Elephas maximus indicus: one gene and its partners. The protein of the gene in region 1 interacts with the protein of each later gene in a pairwise test. Links are inferred from orthologs where the notes say so. Each region holds a gene or a part of one and is shown on either strand. Other genes may lie near its edges.

What was found.
Region 2: the proteins of SH3GLB1 (region 1) and ARFIP2 interact in binary tests that used the Homo sapiens proteins (3 or more experiments, as listed by UniProt). The link is inferred for Elephas maximus indicus from reciprocal best matches to the Homo sapiens genes SH3GLB1 and ARFIP2.
Region 3: the proteins of SH3GLB1 (region 1) and RIC8A interact in binary tests that used the Homo sapiens proteins (3 or more experiments, as listed by UniProt). The link is inferred for Elephas maximus indicus from reciprocal best matches to the Homo sapiens genes SH3GLB1 and RIC8A.

What each region holds. Positions count from the first base shown.
Region 1 is NC_064821.1:136,340,825-136,344,569, reverse strand, and holds the start of SH3GLB1 (endophilin-B1), read right to left. Parts: upstream 2,862-3,745; 5' UTR 2,513-2,861; coding exon 2,441-2,512; intron 1-2,440. UniProt on the Homo sapiens protein: May be required for normal outer mitochondrial membrane dynamics. Required for coatomer-mediated retrograde transport in certain cells. May recruit other proteins to membranes with high curvature. May promote membrane fusion.
Region 2 is NC_064825.1:60,135,989-60,139,733, reverse strand, and holds the start of ARFIP2 (arfaptin-2), read left to right. Parts: upstream 1-1,156; 5' UTR 1,157-1,369; intron 1,370-2,061; 5' UTR 2,062-2,103; coding exon 2,104-2,202; intron 2,203-2,438; coding exon 2,439-2,535; intron 2,536-3,198; coding exon 3,199-3,317; intron 3,318-3,492; coding exon 3,493-3,714; intron 3,715-3,745. Other genes in the region: TIMM10B (mitochondrial import inner membrane translocase subunit Tim10 B), read right to left, coding at 281-457, 658-753, 948-974. UniProt on the Homo sapiens protein: Plays a role in constitutive metalloproteinase (MMP) secretion from the trans Golgi network. May have important functions during vesicle biogenesis at certain cargo subdomains, which could be predominantly utilized by secreted MMPs, such as MMP7 and MMP2.
Region 3 is NC_064825.1:138,017,120-138,020,864, forward strand, and holds the start of RIC8A (synembryn-A), read right to left. Parts: upstream 2,415-3,745; 5' UTR 2,281-2,414; coding exon 2,197-2,280; intron 1,819-2,196; coding exon 1,771-1,818; intron 1,703-1,770; coding exon 1,112-1,702; intron 689-1,111; coding exon 597-688; intron 168-596; coding exon 17-167; intron 1-16.

The DNA of each region.
Region 1 (3,745 bases):
CCTCGTAATGATTACAACCTAGAAAACCCTATGGGACAGTTCCAGGCTATTACAAGGGATCCCTATGAGTTGAAATGGAACAGACGGCACCTAACATCAACATTTAACTTTTGAAAGCTTCTCTAGATTTATTCTTTTAAATTGAGTCCATTAGCAATTTAAATCAGACTAAATTCTGACAAATGTCTCCAATTTAAGCAGTGTAAGTTATTTACCTGAAAACATATCAAAGTGTATTCTAAAGAGTAACATTATATAGAAACATAATAAATCCAAATCTGCCCCCAGCATCCAGAATATTAGGGAATTAGCACTAAAAAATTACCAGAGGCTTTAACCCATTGCAGTAAATACTAAGGAAGTCTAATAGAAGTGGAGCCCTGTCTGTGCAATAGTTAAGAGCTCAGCTGCTAACCAAAAGGTCAGCAGTTCGAATCTACCAGCTGCTCCCTGGAAACCCTATGGGGCAGTTCTACCTTCCTATAGGGTCGCTATGAGTTGGAATGAACTTGATGGTAACAGGTCTGCTTTTGGTTTTTTAATACAAGTATCTCACAAATCAAAATTCATTTCAGACTGATTCATTCTTTTTGTACCTTACCATAAAAAAATATGGAAACCAAAAGTTTATCCTTTCAACTATTAAAAAAAGCCAAATCTGCTGCTGTGGAATGGATTCAGACTCATGGAGACCTTATGTGTCGCAGTGAAACCGCTCCATAGGATTTTCAACAGCTGACTGTTTGGAAGTAGATCGCCAGGTCTTTCTTCCCAGGCCTTTCTGGGTAAACTCGAACCTCCAACTTTTTGATTAGCACAGCTGACCAAGTTAACTGTTTGCACCACCCCGGGACTCCTTTACAAGACACCTTATATCTTAGTGAGGGAGATGGGTTAAAGCAGCCAGCTCATTACTCACCAAGCTAAGTCTGGTACTTGGAAATCAAGACCTAAAAGGAATTTCCCATAGCTTATGTGGTTATTTTCTGTTGATATTTAAATGCTCAGATTTTACAAGGTGACCTCTAAGGTCCTCTAGTCTGTAACACTCTATTATTCTGTATGTTCTCAAACGTGCAATGCTTATCCAGGAAAAGCAGCAGCTTGCAGTGGCCAAGTCAAACAGTACCTGAATATTTACCAGCCATGCAAGTTAAGTAAGTTGCTTAGCCTCTCTTAGGCTGTTTCCTCATTTATAAAATGGGGTTAATAACAACTACCTGGCAAAGTTAAAAAAAGGACTGGAGATAATAGGTCAAATGACTAGCAAAGTGTTTGACCTAGGTTTTTTTTCTTTCCTCCCCACAATGCAGGTTGCTATTGCTACCCTACTCTAGCTCTATTATTCTTTTGCCAAGAATAGTGTGTGTAGGATCAACTGCACCAACTAAAATTGGGGTAAAGTAGACAGGAAAGTAGTAAAGGAACTGATTTACATTTTGGTACCAATTTGGCATGTATATTAAACAATTACTTTTGTTTTCTCTTTACAAAAGAGAATGTTGTTGCCACGGCGACTATGTCATTAATTTAAACACCAGACTTGTTTATAACCCATGTTGTGGTAAAATTTACATCTGTTCATAGTTTTTATACTGAGTTGGCATAATGTGGGTGACGACTGTAGAAAAGTGTCCAAGTTCCTCAGTACTTACACTTCCTTGATTGAGGAATATGGTGAGGTCAACTTTTTTCTTAAAGTGTATTCAAAACATACCACTGTGACTTCAGGCAGAGTGGCAGGAATCTCCCCATACCTCTCACTGCTCTACTGCCGGTGCTTCTCATTCTGAGACTGGATGGGAACCCCCAAACACAAGTTTCCTGTGGTCTTGGCAAAGTTTGCCCGCCAATTGGCGACTTCCATTTCCCTGCGCGGGGTGCCAAGCCCAAGGACAATCCTTTCAGGAGGGGCAGGGCTGGAGAGAACTATATTGGCAGCTCTTTGGGTTCTGAGGGCAGGAAAAGGAAATTAACTCCCTTCTTGACTCGGTGGGGAGGGTGAGAGAACCCAAAGCAAAGGGCAGGGGCAGTGCAAGAATGGTCTACGTTACCCCGCCGGTCTCGCAAGGCCTCCGCCAACCCGGGGAGGGAGGTCACACGAGCACCGGCGTCCTGGGATCAGAAAGGCAGCGGAGTAGCGCCTCGGCCCGTGGACAAACTCAAAGTGTCCTCCAGGGTGGGGAGGAAACTCTGGCCCCCTTCCCACTCCGTTTTGCTTTCCGGGGTGCGGCTGCCGGGCAGGAGGATGGCAGAAAACGGCCGCCAGGCTCGGAGGGGCACCAGGCCGCGCCCGTCTCCCGGGCCTCCTGCCGCAGCAGACCCACGGGGTGGGGTCGAGGCCGGAGTGAGGACGCCGCCGCCGCCCTGGGCTCAGCGCTCAAGCGGTCCCTCCCCGGCCCTCCTCGGGCGTCGTCATCCCTTCCCCCCACCGCGGTACCTGGACGGCACGACTGAGGAAGGTGCCCGCGTCAGCCGCCAGTTTCTTCACGTTAAAATCCATGATGTTCATCCTGGGCGGCAGCCGGGCGGAGCCGCCGGCTGACCTAGCAGGGAGGCGGAGGCGCCGCAGCCGGGCTGGCGCGCCGGGCAAGAGCCGCGGGGGCAGACGTGGTAGGTGGAGGGAGGCGGCGCCAGCCCCGCCGCTGCAGCTGTCGTTTCCGCGAAGGGGGAGGAGAAGGGTGGGGCGAGGGGAGAGAACAAGCGCCTCACAGCCGGCCGCGCGCGCCGGCGGCTGCGGCTCAGACACTGGGCCTGTCGCGTCGGTAGGGCAGCCGCTAACGTCGGCGTTAGCGGCGGCTGGCTAGCGGGAGGACAGACAGGCGTTCTGGCCGTGCTAAGCCAGGTTCCCAACGGAGGACGCAAGCGTCGGCCGCGGGGCGGAGCCTTTAGGGAGGTTATCGCGGGAACAGCGACCCCTTCAGGATCGCGGCGACCCAGCCGCGGGGCGCGCTGGGAGCTCGGTCCGGCTCAACCCGAGGGAGTGTCGCGTTCGCTGCCAGGGGCTCTTTGTGGGATCCCCGCACTGCTGCACGTTTACAGTTCAGCTCCTGAGAACTAAGAGCAGCGATAACCCCAATTCTTTTTGTTTTAAGAGCAAACACGGAAATTATTGTATATAATTACGTTATGTACAAAATTAGAACCAAGAGGTTCTGGTCTTCTTGTAGCATCTGCGCCCGTCTGCCCCTGACGCCTGGATAGCGTACGGCGGAGGTTTTCAGAAGTGTTGTATTTAAAGTTCCCTCCCAGCCTATTGACCGTTCATTTAGCAAAATTGAGTACGTACTGTGTGCCACGCACTGAGCCAGGTGCTGGAGATAAACTGTGCTAAATGAGAGACAGTGTCCTGCCCTCTAGGAGATCTCAGTCTGGCTACTTGACAACCTCCGGGGTCTTCTCCGCTCCCACCAGAAGCCTTGTAACTATTTGCTTTGTGACTGCTTTAAAGCAGCTTGCACACGTGGGACTGCAGGATCAACACTAGGCGCATCAACGTACGGTACCGGGACACAAAGTGCCCGGTGGAGGACACAAAGAGATATAAAATGGTGAGTGAGATAGGGTAACGCTAACGAATCAGCGCGGGGAATTTTAATAACAGATGAGAATATGATGTGAAGCAGTTGAGGAATCTATAATTCCAAGTAACCTCTTAATTAAGCAATCTTCACAATACAGTTTATGTTTGCACTAAGTAAAAAAAGAAAAACAGGTGTAAGCATGGAAGGGGAGAGAGACATTT
Region 2 (3,745 bases), on another chromosome or scaffold:
CTGAGGTTTTCCTTCTCCACACAGAAGGCAACTTCTTGGCAGCCAGAGCTGAAGTTAATAGATATGCACTAACTGACAAAACAAATGATGGTGCCAATAAAGTGGGTTCCTCCCCTCCTCCCCCCCACCCCCCAATGAAACACAGTGAAAAAGCAGGTTTATTAGCTCCAGGAAAAGGAGCAAAGGTACCCATCTCTCAGGCTACTCCTCACGTTCTCTGTACAAGCTCTACTCAGCCCAAGGGTCCGTCCAGCCCCTCCCCTTCTGGGGTGGGAAACAGCTAGGTGCCAGATGGCGAGGCTCCAGGCCGTTCAGCAGCAACACCTGGCATGGCTGAGGCAGCCTCATAGTCTGCGATGCGGCGCTGTACCAGGGCAGGCATGAGCTTCACATAAGCGGCCATGAGACGGTGGTTGGAATGGATCAGCTTCCCAGCACAGCTGTGCAAACAGGCCTCCTAAAAAGAAGATAGGGTGGAAGTAGGGGCCAAAGGGGTCCTGTCAGGCCCCATCTCCTTCCTTCCCCAACCCCAGCCTAGGGGTGAAGGCCGTGAAAAGGCCAAGGCCAGAAGTGGAAATGAGTGGTGGGGTTGGGAAGCTGACTACCGTGAACTTTGAGGATCGAGGATAACCTCCCTAACCCTACTCAGGCCCCCACCTCCTCAGCGTCCAGAGCTCGGTGGTGCAGGCTGGGCACGCAGCGCTGGAAGCAGAGTTCTGTCATCCGATTGTAGACCAACAGGAAGTCCCGCAACTGCCGGTAAAAGGGACCAGGAACTCAGCGATAAGGTGTCCCTCAATTCAGCCCAGCCTCCCGGGGTTGCCCTGGGTCGCGCACCACAGCCTGAAGTTCTCAGCCCTCGGATCCCTGGCTCTTTGGGGTACCCGCGACGTTAACAGGCATGGGAGCTGAAGGTATGGCTCTGGAGCAACTTAATCCCGACTCACGTTTCTCAGCTGCTGCTGCGGCTCCATCACGCCGCCGCCGCCCGCCTACATCTCTTCCGTTTCAGCTTGAAAACACCCCGGAAGTAATCTCTGGCCGTTCCCCAAGGACTGAGGGGTTGGCTCAAGGATCGCCCTGCCCTCGGCAGCCAACGTCACTTCCGCCCTTATAATCTGCGACGTGGCCGGCTTCTTCTGCCCGGGAGGGGACGTCACTTCCGCCGAGTCCCTGACCTGCGGCTAGGATCGCGACGGGAACTGGAGCCCGAGGTCCCCGCGCCGCCCGGGTCTGGCGCCCTGAGGGGAAGAACGGCCCGGCCCGAGGTGAGAGGGACATACTTGGGCGAGAGGGAGTTGAACGCACAAACCTGAGGGCAAGATGCTCCTGAGCACTGGGGAAGGATGAGCGCACACCTGATGCCCAGGTGAATGGGGGAGGGGCGGGGACTCACACACCTGGGAAGACATAACTGACTTTGGAAGGGATCACTTATGTCCTGGAAGGAAGAGGCTTTTACCAGAGGCGGGAAACATACACCAACTGATTCAACTAAGGCCTGGTAGGGAGGGCCTGAGAAGGAGAAAGAGGTGCGTGGGATGGAGGAAGGAGCGACCACTTGAAGGAAGGGGGAAGAAACACTAAAGGAGTGGTAAAGGACAAGCAGTGCAGCACATACCTGAATGGCGAGTGGGCACCAGAGCCCTGGGAAGGGGTTCATCTCCTGGTGGGAGGAGGGGGGAAGACACACCTGAATGGAATAAGCTCCAAGAGGGCACAGACTTTATCTCTGTTGTTTACTGCTGTATTCCCAGGGCCTCAAATCGTGCCTGACACAATGCAGGCACTCATCTAGCATCTGTTGAATGAATGAATGATTACCTGAGTCCTGGTGGGCTTGGGAGGTTATGAGAAGACACCTGAGACCTAGGTGTGCATGTATAAAAATGTGCACCTTGGAGAGGATAAATTCATATATCTAGGGAAAGGAGTGGTAGCTGAACCCAGGACATGCTTAAGTGCTGGGGATAACCTCTAAAACCTCAGAAATGGCAAGAGAGGTCTTCCCCTTCTGGAGTGCTGGCAACTTCCCAAAACCACCTGTGTTGGGCTTTGCAGGGCCCAGGGGTGGAGACTTTGACTCCAGTCCCTGCCCCAGCCATGACGGACGGGATCTTAGGGAAGGCAGCCACAATGGAGATCCCTATTCACGGGAACGGTGAAGCTGGGCAGCTTCCTGAGGATGATGGGCTGGAGCAGGTGCTTTTCTTTGATTCTTCTCCTAATCAAATCCCAACTCAAACTCTGGGCTCTTATTCCATTCCAGTAGCCTTTCCCTTATCTAACTCCTGTCAATCTTTTTATAAATCTTCATTCTGATTCTGTGCAGATATCCCTTGCTCTCTCTGTGATGCTTCAATCCAACCTTGTTCCCACCCCCAAAATGATTCAGCTGCCCCTATGTTCCTGAAGCCTCCCTCTTCTCTGGCCTATAGGACCTCCAGCAGGTGATGGTGTCAGGACCCAACCTTAATGAAACCAGCATTGTGTCTGGTGGCTATGGGGGCTCTGGTGATGGACTCATCCCAACAGGTATGAATAATCAGAGACAAAAAGCTTGAGTCCACAGTGGGGACAGGAATGGTTCTGGGGAGCTTAGGATATGCCTAGGGACACTTGAATTATGTCTGGCGGTCTTGGGAACTCCTGCCAGTATGAACCCCAATGTATTCAGCCGAAGACCAGCTGCCAGCGTTGGCCTTCTGCTACCACTTGCTACTTAGCCCCTCAGATGCACCTTTTTATCCTTTTTCGACTGCCACCACCTGAGCCAGGTTAAGATGTCTAGTTCACAGGAGTTCCCTTGGTTTGGAGCTTAAGACTTATTTGGAACTTTGTGAGACTTCTCGGGGTTTTACTTCAGACTCTAAAGTTTAGAGGAACAAACAGCCCTGAACCTTACACAGACTGGGATTCCACATGGGAAAGTCACCAGGTTTCCTGTTACCAGATCCCATCATCATTGACCCCATCAGAAGATGGCCAGAGGAACTCATGGAGATGTATGCTGGGATTTAGGTCTTGGGGTGCAAGGTACTAGTTCCCCCTAGTGAGCAGGAGGATCTCATTGTGTCTGAAGCATTCAGCTGCTTCAGAGATGTCATTTTTATGTGCTGGGAGGGAAGTATGGATGGGGCCACAGAGGTGTCTGGTTGTATCTGAGAGAGGCTGGTGTCAGAGAACTTGGTCCTTTAGGGTCTGGCCGGCATCCATCTCACAGTGCCACTCCCACTGGCCCTGGAGATGAGGTGGCTCGGGGCATCGCTGGAGAGAAGTTTGACATCGTCAAGAAATGGGGCATCAACACATACAAGGTGGGACTCAAACAACTTTTCCTATCTTCCAAACTTCCTTGGGTACCCTTTTCCCTTCTCCCCAGACCCCAATGTCCCATCTATGGCTTAGACCAGGAACCTGGGGATGCTGGGGCAGGTACCTGTTGTGGGAGGGTGCTAGGGTCTCTGACCTATTCCCCTACTTCCCAATCAGTGTACAAAGCAGCTGTTATCAGAGCGATTTGGCCGAGGCTCCCGGACTGTGGACCTGGAGCTAGAGCTGCAGATTGAGTTGCTGCGTGAGACGAAGCGCAAGTATGAGAGTGTCCTGCAGCTGGGCCGGGCACTGACAGCCCACCTCTACAGCCTGCTGCAGACCCAGCATGCACTGGGTGATGCCTTTGCTGACCTCAGCCAGAAGTCCCCAGAGCTTCAGGTGCCTCAGCCAGGCCAAGGGGGATGGGTGG
Region 3 (3,745 bases), on another chromosome or scaffold:
AGTCCCTCCTGCCTACCTGGTCCAAACGCCGCTCCAGGAAGTCAAGGAGAGCATGAATCACGTCCATGTTCACTCCCATGAACTCCAGGGAGCCTGTGTGCAGCTCCGGAGTGAGGAGGACGTCAAGGCACTCAAGTGGCAAGTTTCCCAGGAGATTCACTGCATGGCTGCAGACAGATGGGGTTTAATTAGGACAACTGTCCGGCAAGTGCAGTCCTAGCTGCCACCCTTCTCAGACCACACGTGAGGCTGCTCATCAGCCCAGGTCCAGGCGTCAGCGCCTCCCCTGACTGATCCTGGTGGTGCCAGGAATACCCAGGTATTTCTGAATGGTGCTGCTGCCCACCTCACTCAGACAGGTGAAATCAGACTCTAGGGTGGGTCCCTTCTGCTCTCTTTGCCCCGCCTCCCGATCCACAGCCAAGACTGAGAACCCTGTCTGAGCATCCCCTTCCCAGCCAAGGCAGGCCCACATGCACACCACCCCCATCTACCTTGAAGCCCCACCCACAGCCCCACCCACCCACCTCAAGGCCCCGCCCACCTGTAACCCATACCCCACACCCCCACTTACCCACCTCAAGCCCCTCCCTCACCCGTGGAACTCCTCCGTGCGGTCGCCGGCAGCCGAGACCATCACACAGTGCCGCAGAAGGATCCCCAGATGCCGGTAACAGGCAGCATCATCCTAACCAGAAACATGTTCTTAGAGGAGAGAAGAACCCCACTCCCGTGCTGTTGCCAGCTAAGGCTCTTCCATCCACTGAGCCTACCAACAAGCCTAGTCCTGGGCCCTTGTCCTCTCCAATGTGACCTTTACTTTACTAACAGTGGGGCTAAATAGCCTCTACTCTTTTCCTAACAGCACTTTTCCAACTAAGAACGTCAACACAGTCCCTTGGGATGAAATCCTGTTTCCTCTCCTACCACATACTCTGGTTCCTGCTGGGCCTGGAGAACCAGAAACCACCTCCCCTCGCAGCCTCCCTCCAATGCCTTCCTTGAGGCCCCTCCTCAAAAGGGACCCTCCTCTTCTCCAAGAGGCAGGAACCCCAATCCTCTCTCATCTGATGCCCACAAAATCAAAGGCACCTGTGAGTTGAGCCCTCACCTCATCCACCTCCTGCTTGACCAAATCGAAGGTGATGTTGAAGAGAACTTTGAGGATCTCCATGGCCCGCTCTGTCTCCTGTGCAGGGAGGAACTCAGGGGGGCTCTCCTCTGGGGACGCCCCCAACGTCAGCTCCAGCGCATGGGTCAGCAGGCGCACCCCCTGCAGCTCCCGAAACAGTTGCTGGCGCACGTCAGTGCGCAGTGCCGTCAGCAAGAAGAGTAGCCGCAAGTCAAAGAACTGGACATCATGCGGGAAGCTCCGCTGCCCGGAGAGCCGCACACGCTCTGAGAGCCTTACTACCAGGCAGGCCTGGGCAGCCAACGCCTGTGCCGCGGGGCTGCTCAGCACGAGGTTGCAGAGGCACTTGAGGGCCTCAAGCACAATGTCCATGTCTGGAGACTCAGGGTCAGGTCCCTCGGACACGAAGATGCCAGCACAGCGAGCCAGGGCCTGCAGGCTCGGGCGGCTGGTGAACAGGTCCAGGCAGCCGCGGTCCCGGGACAGGATGCGAAGGCTCTGCAGCCAAGTGGCGCGTCGAGAGGGCGGCAGGCCCTGCTCCAGGGCCGACACCAGCAGGCCGGCCAGTCTCTGCAGAGAGAGGAGCAGCTCCACCAGGCCCGCCCCCGCCCAGCCCCCCACCCCCGGCCAGCACCCACCTTCCTGTCTTCCCGCTGCGCGTCCTCAAACGTGAAGCTCTCCGAGTTCTGCAGAGAGAGATCAAGGGATCACGACGTTCAGGTTCCCCAGCCGGGGCAGGACCGCGCCCGCAGGGGGGCGGCAGCATCGGCCTCGACTCTGAGCAGGCGGCTGGGCCCGGCGCCCCCACCCGCAGACGCCCCCCACCGCGCCCCCCCGCCCGCAGATGCCACCACCGCGCCCCCCCGCCCGCAGACGCCCCCCACCGCGCGCCCCCCCGCCCGCAGACGCCCCCCACCGCGCGCCCCCACCGCGCCCCCCCGCCCGCAGACGCCCCCCACCGCGCCCCCCCGCCCGCAGACGCCCCCACAGCCCGTCCCGCAGGCTCAGCCCCGCCGCGCGGCGCGCCCACCGTAGTGCCCGGCCCGTCAAAGGCTCGCGCTCACCTCCCGGTTGTACGTCCGCAGGGCCTCCATCATTGCGGCCTCCTCCCCCGCCTCCACGGCATTCGCAACCGCCCGGGGCTCCATGGCGTCGCTGGGACCGGCGCGGGGAGGCTCCAGTCGGCGAGCGGAAGGCCCTCGAGCCGCGGAGCCGACCCCGCCCTGCCTCCCGACCCAGCGTCACGCGCGCGGGGGAGGCCGGGACCGAAAGTGCGCGCGCCACGGGGAAGGCCTGGACGGGGCATGCGCGCGCCGCGGGAGGGGCCTGGACGGGGCATGCGCGGCGCCGCGGGAGGGGCCTGGACGGGGCATGCGCAGAGCCGCGGGAGGGGCCTGGACGGGGCATGCGCGGCGCCGCGGGAGGGGCCTGGACGGGGCATGCGCAGAGCCGCGGGAGGGGCCTGGACGGGGCATGCGCAGAGCCGCGGGAGGGGCCTGGACGGGGCATGCGCGGAGCCGCGGAGAGGTCCGGGTGGTGTTGGTGGCCTTGAAGTCGACTAGGCTACGAGACCCGGCTTGGTTATCGGCTGACCTCAGAGTCCGAGTCGCTCAGTGCAGAACCATGGCCCACCCCCCGACTGCTCCTTGGGCCAGAATTTCCAACAGGAGAGGGCCTCGTCCCCCCACCCGCGACACGCACACACTAACGCCCTTCTTGATCCACCGAACGAATGGGAGGGGGACAACCGAGGTGGAACTTTGTAGTCCTGGGGCCAATTGGTTTGATAAACAGGATTTTGTTGAGCTCCTATTTCATGCGAGGTGCTAGGGTCCCTGCCTTTCTGAAGTTCGTCTTCTAGAGAGGAAGACAGACCAGGAAAAACAAATGACTGGGCGGTCATAAGTGCCATGATTCAAAAAGCAGCCAAGAGTCCTGTGATCTCCAGTGCATGGTGGGCTGCAAAAGGCTCTGAAGAAGTGACCCTCTTGCTGAGACGAATGACAAGAACAGGGGCCAGGAAAAGGCCTGAGAGGGGTCGTTCAAGGCAGAAGGAATAGCTTGTCCAAGAGTGGGAATGACCGTGGTGGGATGGGGAAAGGAAGTTACCGTTGGAGCTGAGACGAGGGGGAGTGGGGAAGAGGTCAGGGATGAAGAGGGGAGCCTGACCGTGTGCGGCGATTTCCTCCATGTGTAACCCAGACCTGGTGCCCAGCCTGGACGCGGTTTTCTTTTTGTGTAAAACAGGAATAATAAAAGTGCCCGTCTCAATGGGTTATCATGAGGATTAAATGCATTTAAGTGCAAAGCACTCAACGTAGTGTTTCGCACACAGAAAATGGTCCGTAACGGTGGGTAACTTATAAATACGGCGCATCCACCCATCTATTCTTTCAATAAACATTGAGCATCTACTTCGTGCCAGGCCCTTTGTTAGGGACAAAGTTCAAAGTCCCCACCTATCACCAATACCCCTATTCCTTGCTTTATTTTTTCCACGATTCTTCACGCCTCTACTTTAACAAACACACAGAGCTTCCTCGGTGCAGGCACTGTCCTAAGCACTGTCAGCTCTGTAGATGCGAGCTGGTGTGCAGAGGTTAACCATCCCCA